Nothobranchius furzeri: one gene and its partner. The protein of the gene in region 1 binds, or shares a complex with, the protein of each later gene. Links are inferred from orthologs where the notes say so. Each region holds a gene or a part of one and is shown on either strand. Other genes may lie near its edges.

Region 1 (6,212 bases):
CCTACCCTGCTGGTCCTGCAGAGCCTGGGGGTTGAGACGGTACCACTGCAGCTGATCGTAGGTGTAGTTGTCAGCACTGCAGCGCAGAGACATGTTCTCCTGCTCCAGGGGGGTCTCAGAGGGATGGACATCTACACTGAAGCCTTCAGGGATGGCTTCAAAGATGAAAGGGGGCAGTGAGGGGTCAAGATGAGGCTTTATGATGTAAAATGATGAAAAGCACTCTTTATATAATAATAATAATAATAATAATAATAATAATATTAATAATGCATTGAACTTATATAGCACTTTTCTAGACACCCAAAGACGCTTTCACACACTCTCACATTCACCCACTGCTAGTGATGGTAAGCTACTTGTAGCCACAGCCGCCCTGGGGAGGTCTGACAGAGGCGAGGCTGCCATTTGGCGCCGTCGGCCCCTCTGACCACCACTAACACAGGCAAGTTGGGTGAAGTGTCTTGCCCAAGGACACAACAGCAGGATACCCCTGGCGGGAGCTGGAATCGAACCCATGACCCTCTGATCATGAGGCAACCCGCTCTACCACCTGAGCTACTGCTGCCCTAAATAATATATTTAGATTTATAATAAATAAATCAATTCCTCCAATTACAACAAAAAAAATATATAGGGAACGCTTTCACTTAAATCCAGAGGAGTCCAACCCAGGAATGTCGATAGGAACGGTCTTCGTTTTGAGCATCCCAATAAAGTCTTGCCTGTGCCGCTCAGTTGGACATGCTGAAGGCCATTCTCAACCTGGTGAAGTTTTATTACAGTAATTTCTTTGGCATTAAAGTGCTACAGGGAATAAACTTTGGTGCCATACACATAAAGGCCATAGGAACTAAGACAAGCTCCAACTGTTTGTGATGATTTTAAAAATGTTTTATTTTATCATAATAAATTCAAGCTCTGTTGAGGAGTGGCTAAATGTTTTTAACACAAATGTCAAGCAAACACCAGGAGGATCATCATATTTTATTGTTATTACTGATTAAAATGGGAAATCTATACATATTATGCAATTGTTGGTGCGCATCAAAATGCTAATTTACAGTTTGTAAAATGTAGTGAGCCTTCCTAACTTGAATCTGACTTTCTACAGCAACCAGGAGTGTTGTGAATAATCGGCCCCTCAAAGATTTCCTCATTGGGGGTTTGGGTCAGAAATCACAGTCAGACAATAATGTTTGACATCTGACATAGATAACCTGAGCAAATACAAAATGCATTTTCTAAAATTACTATTTCATAAACTGTTGTTACAAAGCTAACCAAACTGATCACTGTAGGACCTAAAAAGCAACACATCCTGGCTCTAAAGAAAACACAGAACAACATCTAAAGTACTGCAGGTGGTTGAAGTCAAGGGTCATGACTTGTGCTAAAAGACAACAAAAAGCAGAACTTTCTGGAAGCTGTGTCTTAATCCATCTGGAGGAAACCTACACCACCAGACATTGTAGTGGATGGTTGCAGCCTTTGACACTGTTGACCATCACCTGCTACTAGGCTGAGGGACTGGGTACACCTGTCAGGATCTGCTCTGGAGTGGTTCTCCTGTTGTCTGTCTGAGCGCTCCGTTTCTGTGGCCATCTCCAAGTTTAGGTCCTCCACCACCTCTCTTACCCATGGTGTCCCACAAGGTTCTGTGCTGGGGCCTCTGCTCTTCCTCCTCTATCTGCTTCCTCTTCAGCACATCTTGAGCTCCTCTAAAGGAATCTCCTACCATCTTTATGCAGATGACATCCAACTCTACATCTCCTTTAAGCCCCATGAGATGTCTAAGCTGCAGCTGTTACTCTCCTGTTTAGACTATTAAAACCTGGATGGCTGGGAGCTTTCTACAGCTGAATGAAGACAAGACTGAAGCCTGATTTCTGCTCCTCCATCAGCTCGAGTGTGAGTCGCGCAAACAGATTCACAGAGAGGCTTTTCCTTCAGACTTCTACATCACATGTGGATTGTTGCAAAGCAATTCCCCGCCAGGACAACAAAGGATGTAGTGCTTTTTTTGGGTAACCTGTCACCATTACTGGCACGTATCTGGTCTAAGATTTTGTATAGTGTTTATATTGTTTCAATGTATTTCGGAGACTTTAACCATGGACACATTTATCCCTCATTGTCCTCCATCTCTTCAGGCGATTGGTACCTCTAAACCCACGTTCCTTGTCATTTCAGCCTACGAATAAAATGCTTGTTCCGCATCTTTGTACTTCTTCAGTCACGGGTGAATAAACATTTATATTTTCGGATGTTTTCCGTGGCGCATTCTTTAATCTGTACCATGTTTAAAGGAAGCAGTGTCCTGACCAATCACAAGCTAGGTCTCCGTCACTTTCGACTGAGAGTTAAAAGGTTGGACATGACTCTGTCATAATGGCGTTGCATATCTCTGCACTGATGCAGACAGAGAAGTATACATTAGGCTTCATATCCTCATCTGTGCCCCAGACAAGCTGGTTCCCAAAGTCAGAGACTCTCTTGGTCAGCTTGCTTCCCACACCAAACCTTCTGTCAGGAATCTTGGTGTGACCTTTGACCCTGCTCTCACCCTGGATTCTCATGTCAATTATCTTGTTCGCTCTTCCTTCTTCCATCTCAGGAACATTGCTAAGCTGAGTCCCATTCTGTCTCGGTCTGAACTTGAGACAGTTATCCACACCTTCATCTCCTCACACTTAGACTACTGTAACTCTCTTTTCACGTGTCTGAGCAGAACCTCTCTGAACCATCTACAGGTGGTTCAGAATGCCTGTGTTCGGCTTCTGACCAAGTCCTCCAAACACACCCACATCACCCCGCTTCTCCTCCAGCTTCACTGGCTGCCAGTCAACTTCAGGGTTCATCTTCTTGGTCCCTGTTTCTACCAACTCTGTCTTTCCCTGGATCACATAATACTTTTCATATTCATTTTCTTTCTTCTCATTTTTAACTTAAAATGTTCAATTTTTCCTATTTTTTATTATATTTTTTATAACCGTTTTAAAATATTTTTCAGTTTCTGTTGTGAAGTGTCTTGTGATTTATATATATATATATATATATATATATATATATATATATATATATATATATATATATATATATATATATATATATATATATATATATATATATATACATACATATATATATATATATATATATATATATATATATATATATATATATACATATATATATATATATATATATATATATATATATATATATATATATATATATATATATATAAATCTTTTCTTTGACCTTAAACAGACCGTTCATGCTGGAAAACCCTCCACATTTAGGCTGAATTAAAATAATCTCTCAATGAAAAATGGGAAAAAGTTCGTCCACAGAGAGGTGAAGCCCTTGACTGTACTTGTTTACACCGACTTTTATAAGTTTTGGGGTCAACTACTGATTCACATTGATCTTTGCTTTGATAGATTGATTTTCTCTTAATATACAAGATCTTTAAAAAGTGCATTTTTTTTATATAATTTTAGCAATTCACCCTAAATCTTCCGATTTTGTGACATCAAACATTTTATTATTTGTGTTTGTGTGACGTTGGTCACAGCCAGCATACTCACTGGTTACATAGAAGTAGATCAGTCGCTCATCTTTTCCCACTTTGTTTTCAGCGGAGCACTTGTACATGACAGAAACGCTGGCGTTGCGTATCTGAAGTCTGCTCACAATCTATTAGTAAAGAAAAGACAATGAGCCTTGCATTTATAAAGGAAGTGTGTATATTTTAACGGTGCAGGACATTATGCTGCTTATTTTATGCTGACACTAAAAAAACAGCTGAATCCACTCAGATGTGAAGGATAAAAACAGGATTCCTGCACGTGTGGACATCTGTATCCGTGATTGTGATGTTTCCTCTAATAGTTTATTAATGTGCAGGCACTTGCCCCTTATTCATGTGTCTAGGTGTGTTTATATATACATAAAGGAATAAGAGCCTTACAGGAAGTCTGGAGAGGAAAACTGCTGTAAATGTTTCTACAGTGGAAACAGCTCCTGATTGACTAATTCTGTTATCGAGCTCCAGAATTTAGGACAAAAAACATCACAGTTCAGGGAAAAGTCAATTACATGGATGTTTTCTTGACTGTGTCATATCCCAATCATGTCTTTATTTCTACATTCTCATAAATTCTTCTTGTATATTAAAAAAGTCTAATCCTAGAAAAGCTTCAAACAGTTGAGAGGAACCTTTTGCCGATGGTCCACCACTTCCACAGACGTTTCAATCGATTCAATTTCATTGATGCCGTTTTCTGAGTTAATCTCCTGCCAGTTGTGACAGTCCGAGTTCCTGTCACTCCGACCTTTTCTGTCTCGTCGGACCCTGGAAACGAGCACAAACACACCCACACCCTCCTCGTTGACATGTGCATCAGACAAGAATGCAGAAACACATCCAACCATGTCCTCTTATTTCCCTCCACGCGTTTTATTGCATTTGACATCAGTCCAGAGCCGAGGCAGTCGTGGCAAGTGTCCCAGCAGCTAATGGAAAACAACCGTTCCCATTAACATGATCCACAGTATGAACATCATAGTGGAGCTAATGAAACATGAAATTATTTGGCTTCTTTATTTTTTTTATTATTTTGCTTAAAGGACATCATGAGGGGAAGGTGAAGATGCTTAGTTTTCCTTAAACTCATCAGCAGAGTGCACAAATTCGCTGTATGATAAGAACAGTACAACAATGAAAAATCAACTAACGTAGCGTGACTTTTTTCAGTGACTTGCTTCTGTATTTTTATTCTGTTCTGGTCGGGTTGATGCCTGTCTCACAGATGAACACTGAGAAACGGGGTACACGCTGAACAGGTCAGCAGTCACTCACGCTGCTCATCAACAATAAGAACACGTTAGATCTCAGTCGGAGGGGGGAAATCCTGCTGGATCTCCATCCTGACGAGGAAGGAGTAATGCTCTAGGAACAAAAGAATGCCACAATATTTAATGAAAATGAAAATGATCAACCTACAGAGGTCATCCGTCAACCCAGCCAGTAAACCTGATGGGGCAGACCAGTCCGACTTGCTGAAATGTCATTGCAACAACTCTAGAGGTTGCTAGAGGTTTGTACACCCCCGTGTGTTTGTATGCATGCCTGGCAACATTGGAGCATACTACTTATGAGCTAACCAAAGCATCACTGAGCTGCTGGATTGTCCGAGGTGAAACCTGGTAGCACAACATAAATCAAAAAAACAAAGCCCCAGAGATGCTCTATTCTAGACGTAGGTCAGGTTAGAACAAAGGCCACCAGTTCCTTCCTCCTCCAGGAATGGCCTGCTTACTCTTGCCACACGATGCTGCGTTTGGTCATGCATGAGCTGGAACCCGGGACCCAATGTTCTAGTGAAGACTTCTAAGTACGTGTCTAGTGATTACATCGTGATTTCTAATGGCAGTCAGGGGGCCATTGTCGGTCACAGACAGGTCTGCCTCCCCAGACTGGCTCTAACCATTCACCGCTGCTTCTGCTGACACGTCACACCTGTTCTGTGATCCTAGAGCGAATCTGCTTTTATCTACGAAAAAAGACGGCTGCTGCTCTGGTCTAGATCTACGTTACTGGGCAGTGAACACAGGGCCCACTAGAGCAGTGGTTCCAAATCTGAGGTCTGTGACCCCCCTCAAGGGGTCCCCACAAGAATGCAGGGGGTCCAGTGGGTCTACTTTGTTAGTGCTATTAGTAAGATTACTACAATTACATGTATAAGATCCAGAAAACACATCCAACAGCACAATCAGTACTCTGTGTACAAGGCACGACTGTATGGCTTTATAACGACTGTAAGTAGGGGCAGGAATCGAAGACCGGTTCTTGTTCAGAACCAGTTCCCACTGCTTTAGTTCTTAGGAACTGTTAGCCATTTTCACAAACAGTTCCCTTCCAGTCGATGTGAACGATGTGAACGATGTCACCACGCACAATGCATAGCTTACGCATTCACTCAGCCGGAAACATGGCGCCTAAACGGCACAGACGCTTGAAGGTTTGGTGATACTTTACAAGAAGGGGTGACAGAAGCTCACCTTGAAATACTTGCAAACTAGATATTTCATCAAAGGGAGGAAACACTTCAAATATGCAAAAGTATCTGTGCACCAAATATGCCATAACTTAAAGTGAATGTTGTGTTTTTGACCCGCTCCAGACTAGAGAATTTCAACACTGC
Region 2 (6,212 bases), on another chromosome or scaffold:
AAACTCCTCACAGAGAGCATCTGAGGGGGGTTTCTGAAGTGAATTGGATGTACGGTTTAAAATGTTGTTTATGGTGGAAAAGAGTATTCTGGGACTGTGTTTACTGTCTAGAATGAGTTTGGAAAGGTATGCATTTCTTGAATTTCTCACTGCATTATTAAATCGGGCGACGGTGGCACAGGAGTGAATGTTTATGTTTGTTTATTCATTTAGCAGACGCTTTTTATCTAAAGCGACTTACAATTTATAACCCATAGGGCATGTTGTGATCTGTGGGGGGAAACCGGAGTACCTGGAGGAAACCCACGCATGCATGGGGAGAACACGCAACTCCACGCAGAAAGGCCGCAGCCAAGCCGAGTTTCGAACCTGCAACCTTCGTGCTGTCAGGCAACAGCGCTAACCACTGCGCCACCATGCAGCCCAGTTAAGTGCTCGCCCCGTAATCGGAAGGTTGCAGGTTCGAGCCCCGCTCAGTCTGTCTCTGTCGTTGGGTCCTTGGGCAAGACACTTAACCCACCTTGCCTGCTGGTGGTGGTCAGAGGGACTGGTGGCGCCAGTGCTTGGCAGCCTTGCCTCTGTCAATGAGCCCCAGGGCAGCTGTGGCTACATCTTAGCTCATCGCCACCAGTGTGTGAATGTGTGTGTGAATGGATGAATGACTGATTGTGTTGTAAAGTGCCTTGGGGGGTTCCAGGACTCTAGAAGGTGCTATATCAAATACAGGCCATTTACCATTTTACCATTTACCATATGATTTAAGTAGCTCTGTGTATATTTGATGATGTATAGTTATTTTGTTCTTTGTCCATCTCTGCTCTGCGACCCTGCAGTTCCTCTTTAGTTTCTTTAGATTTTCATTTCTCCATGGTCAAGCACGTTTTGAATATAGATTTTTGATTTTAAGTGGAGCAAGCAGGTCCAGAGCGGATTTCAGTCTACTGTTAAAATCACTGACAGTAAATCACAAGAGGCAGTTACTGGAGTGGGAGGGATCTTTTTAAAAACTTCAAGAAAAATCTGTTATATAATGGAGAGCTTCTTTCTCATACGGGAAGATCCAGTCTAGGGCAACCTAACCTTTTCACCCCTAAACTCAGGGTCCAGCTGAGATCCACAAGGCTTGTAGCAGCATCTCTGGATCTGAACTGCACTCTCTGCTCTGCATTAGAATTCCATGATACCCCCTTACTACCAGGTTTGGTGGGATCCAGAAGTCGGAACTGTGTGGAGAAGAGCTCTCCTGGCCAGCAGGTTTCCTGAATTTAGGCCAGTAGGGAGGTAAGCTGAGGAACTGGACCCACGGTGAACAGTCTGGTCTGTAGTTCCGTTTGGAAGTAAAGCCTCTGCAAACTCAAGCCGAGCTTGTCCACGGGTTGTAATGCATGCTGGATCACAAGTTAAATGGTCGATAGAGCCTTGCTGTCAAAATAAATTTTAAGAGGAACTGACAAAAGCATATAACGGGACAAGGGTGGAGCTAACTGATCAGTCTTACACAAGCAGTTAATAATGGTCCCAATAGTGTTGACCACCAAAGTCCAGTTAATTCAACACCTATTCATCCCCAGCAAGCCTCTCATTTGGTGTACCTCAAGGATATATTCTAGGGAATACATTTTTCTCACTCTAGAAGTTGCCATTTGGAAATGTCAATAAAAGACATAATTTGTCTTTCCATTGTTATGCTGATGACTTCTACTTTGAACTGCCAGTAAAGTCCAGAAATTGTGCTACGATATCTTGCCTGTTACACTGCATGCATGACATAGATTTATGGTTGTCCGAAAAAGTCTTACATCTCAACGACAAAACTGAGTGTATTCTTTTTTTCCTTACCAAACATGCAAAATGTCACACTGTCAGATTTTGGATCTTTAGCCCCAATTTTTAGAGATAGCGGCATGAATTCTGATAAGCAGATTGACTTGGTCATCAAGGTTAGCTTTTTTCAGTTTTAGCTAAACCATGTTTAAGTCTCAGTGACCTAGAAAGCCATACATGCTTTTATCAGCTCCCTTTTGGACTACTACAACCCTCTGGGTTGTGTAAAGTGCTATATGAATAAACATTGATTGATTGATTGGTTGGTTGGTTGGTTGGTTGGTTGGTTGGTTGGTTGGTTGGTTGATTGATTGATTGATTGATTGATTGATTGATTGATTGAGTGGTTGATTGATTGATAAAACCTAGGTACTACGGTATCTCACAAAGATAAAATGCTCTAATACCAATGACACGCTGGAAAACTGCATACCTGCAGGTGGGTTGGTGAAACCTTCTTCCTTTCAGAAAACACTTGTTTGGTGATTCATGACATTCACAGGAGCATTTTGTCTTGTTGAGGGGCTGATGCCTTGGACACGTTCTATCACATGTGCACTGGCATGTCTCCTTGTTGAGGACGTGGTTTGGAGGACAGGACAGAGCTGGAAGCGCGTTGCAGACGCACTGGCAGGTTTTCTGATCAAGGTGTCGGTGTGGGCCACAGCTGTTTGTTGGATTGCTGTGCCTACACACACACTGGCAATTTTCCAGATCTAGCTCCTTATCTGGACCACACACATCTGATGAGAAGACATCTGTAGATTGAGGAGACAAAGTCAGTACAGACAATCTGACATTTAAACCGTCCCATTTTACAGTTAAAACTCCTTGAAAGTCTCTACAAATCACCGCCATTAAGAGGCAGCAGAACTGTGTTTTTCAAGGTGACAATTCAAGGTGAAGACCTAATGGTGTTTTCACACTAAGTTCTACCTGGGCCAGATGGGGACAGCCCATCCCTGCATTGCCAGGTTGTGTTTACACACCTCCAGTATCACACAGACCCTGCTCTCATGGACAAGGGCAATGAATAATTGATTTATGTAAAGAAAGGATGGGCTTTTTAAGCCACTACAATTATTCCACTGAAAAATCTGGTTGATTAGGATGGTCATTTAGCACGAGCTCTGAGCTTGTCTGTAACTTGGAGCTCTGGCAGAACTGGGGAAAATAGAACGTGAGTGAGTGTTTGTTTATAAACTTTGACCAACCAGATCTGAGAAATATGAACCAGTTTTATCAAGAATCCTCAAACATCACACACTCCTCAGACACTCAGAAGAGGCTAATTCCACTTAATGTAAAATAAATCTGTTACACATTCATTTGTTAGTACTGATATTAATATGTGAATGTAAATAATAATAAATCATTTTTAAATTATCAAGTAGACTCATTTAGTTTATTTAAAATCTGAAATAAGTCAATAAATAATAAAAATGTATGTTGAATAATTGATTAATTATTAAATCACTTTAAGTAGAACATTCATCGTAGACATACATAATATGGTTGTAAACAACCTGGGGATTGAAAGAAATAATTTTATGAGACCAAAATAACAGTAATTTTATTCAAAGAGTAAGGTCTCGTCTTCTGCATGGACCTTGGAGTTGCAGCTCAGATAGCGGAGTCAGGAGAAGTTATTTATTACGGCTAACTTCTGGTGCAAGGTTACAAACAGCCTGTGTCTTTAGGTGAAAAGCACATAGTTAAGCAGGCTGTGGACAAATCAGTGTCTGGTGACCTTACAGTGACATTGCAGTGGACAAATAACCTTGTTGGATTCATGGATCGCAATCAACCCTAAGTCTATGGAGTCGACTGAAATAGAGTCTTTGTATTTTAGTAGGAGCTGACGTAGTTTGTCCTGCTCACTCATAAGAGCATCTGCCTACCCCACGACCTGTTCAATGTGTGAGAGAACGTCGGAGAATAGTTCTGAAGGATGCTGCGGAGGCAGTTCTGGAGTGGCTGAGCTTGGCGAGGAGCCTGTAGAGTCCCCCCTGCTCAGGACCACCTACCGCAATGAAGGTCAAGTTCAGGAGGGAGCTCAATGGGCAGGGGGTTTTCAACACATGCCCAAAGTACCCCCCTCATAAGTATTAACCATCTTAAGATTTTTACATTTAAAAATGTTTATATTCAAAATCATTTTTGTTATATACAATATTCAGAATTTGTATATTTTTACATTTCGATATTCATTTGGTTTTACTTTTGTAGAACACACACATTTTTTTAGTTGCTGTTATTGGTTAGCTTATTACACCACTCTTATCACTTATGATTTTTTTTTCCTTTACCGCTTATTTTCAGATTTTATTAGTTTCCATTTAATTAATTCACTCATTTCACTACATTTTATACATTTTCTTTTTTCAAAGAATTGTATCAATATTTACACTTCATCACTGATATTTACACATTTTTTCCCTCTGATTTTAACTACATCATTCAGTTAATCTTCATACACATAGTTCCTAATTTATTTATTTATTTTTTACTTTTTTACCATCTGATGTCAGCAGTGTGAGTCTATTGCCCTGTGTGTTTCTAATGATGCCTTGAGCTCCACCAGATGAACTGATAACCTGATGACTCACTGGCATCTACTCCTCTCCTGGATTATTCTGGATTATTTTCTGGAGTTCCAGTCTTCCTGGTCTTTGACGTGGCATTTGTTCCTGCCTGTGGATATTGCTATGTTGGATTACAATTTGCTGATTGGGATTTATGCTGACTTCCCTGCTGTGTGGGGGTTTAGATCACCTCACAAGCAGTGTATGTCAAACATGCACCACAACGCTGAGTTTCTCATAAACATGGTGTCTGAAGCTGAGTGTGCCGCAATTCCTTCCTCTGTTCTAAATGATTTGAACATGTTTTTAAAACAGGCTGCGCAGTGGCGCAGTGGTTAGAGCTGTTGCCTTGCAGCAAGAAGGTCCTGGGTTCACTTCCCGGCCTGGGATCTTTCTGCATGGAGTTTGCATGTTCTCCCTGTGCATGCGTGGGTTCTCTACGGGTACTCCGGCTTCCTCCCACAGTCCAAAAACATGACTGTTAGGTTATTGGTCTGTCTAAATTGTCCTTAGGTGTATGTGTGTGTGTGCATGATTGTTTGTCCTGTGTGTCCCTGTTGCCCTGCGATGGACTGGCTCTCTGTCCAGGGTGTACCCCGCCTGATTGCCCATTGACCGCTGGAGATAAGCAGCACAAGGAGACTCCAGACAGAAGACACGACACTTAACTTTAATAAAAGAATCGTATTTTGTCTCATACAAAGATATCCTCACTTTATAGGTTAATTACAATCATATTCTCTTAAACAATGAATGTTTTGTCTATAGTGATTTAATAATGTCCTGATTACCCAAGCTCTGTCGTCCGTCTTCTCCGTGTTTGGTTTGCTTAGAAGTAGAGGAAGACGATCTTTTGTATAGCGCCTCTCAAGATAAAAATCATGAGGCGCTTCACAAAAATAAAAACAAAAACAAAAATGAAAGTATAAAAAGATTTTAAAAAATGATTACAAATATGTTTAAAAGGAGAAAAGAACAAAATAAATGGAGAGAGAAAGTGAATAGGAGAGAGGGAAGTCAATGGATCCCGGGAAAGGTGGAATAAGAATAGAATAAGGAGAGGGAGGTGACAAAGGACACACCAAAGCCAGCTTGTACAAGTGAGTTTTCAGCTGATTTTTAAAGGAGACCACTGAGTCCACTGATTTCAGGCTCAGGGGGAGAGAGTTCCAGAGTCTGGGGGCCACAGCAGCAAATGATCTGCCACCTTTGGTCTTTAGCCTGGTGCTGCACAACCAGTAGGCTTTGATCACTAGACCTCAGGGACCTGCTGGGGGTGTAGGGACTAAGAAGATCACCAATGTATGATGGTGCTTGTCCATGTAAGGCCCTATAGACCAGAACCAGGATCTTGAAATGAACCCTGAAGTTGACTGGCAGCCAGAGAAGCTGGAGGAGAAGCGGGGTGATGTGGGTGTGTTTGGAGGAGTTGGTCAGAAGCCGAGCACAGGCATTCTGAACCACCTGTAGACGGTTCAGGGAGGTTCTGCTCAGACACGTGAAAATAGAGCTACAGTAGTCTAAGCGTGAGGAGATGAAGGTGTGGACAACTGTCTCAAGTTCAGAGCGGGACAGAATGGGACTTAGCTTGGCGATGTTCCTGAGATGGAAGAAGGAAGAGCGAACAAGGGAACTGACATGAGAATCCAGGGTGAGAGCTGGGTCAAAGGTCACGCCAAGATTCCTGACAGAAGATTTGGTGTGAGAAGCAAGCTGACCAAGAGAGTCTCTGACTTTGGGAACCAGCTTGTCTGGGGCACAGACGAGGATCTCAGTCTTATCTTCATTCAGCTGAAGAAAGCT

Evidence for each region.
Region 2: the proteins of flt4 (region 1) and vegfc are in contact, whole or in part, in a crystal structure (PDB 4BSK), measured with the Homo sapiens proteins. The link is inferred for Nothobranchius furzeri from reciprocal best matches to the Homo sapiens genes FLT4 and VEGFC. Residues at the interface, in NP_891555.2 of Homo sapiens: Gln172, His199, Asp200, Ala201, Leu202, Tyr203; in NP_005420.1 of Homo sapiens: Leu119, Asp123, Trp126, Gln130, Asn167, Arg210.

The regions. Positions count from the first base shown.
Region 1 is NC_091741.1:101,872,541-101,878,752, forward strand, and holds part of flt4 (vascular endothelial growth factor receptor 3), read right to left. Parts: intron 4,361-6,212; coding exon 4,225-4,360; intron 3,703-4,224; coding exon 3,594-3,702; intron 156-3,593; coding exon 1-155. UniProt on the Homo sapiens protein: Tyrosine-protein kinase that acts as a cell-surface receptor for VEGFC and VEGFD, and plays an essential role in adult lymphangiogenesis and in the development of the vascular network and the cardiovascular system during embryonic development.
Region 2 is NC_091747.1:73,385,732-73,391,943, forward strand, and holds part of vegfc (vascular endothelial growth factor C), read right to left. Parts: intron 2,583-6,212; coding exon 2,258-2,582; intron 1-2,257. UniProt on the Homo sapiens protein: Growth factor active in angiogenesis, and endothelial cell growth, stimulating their proliferation and migration and also has effects on the permeability of blood vessels.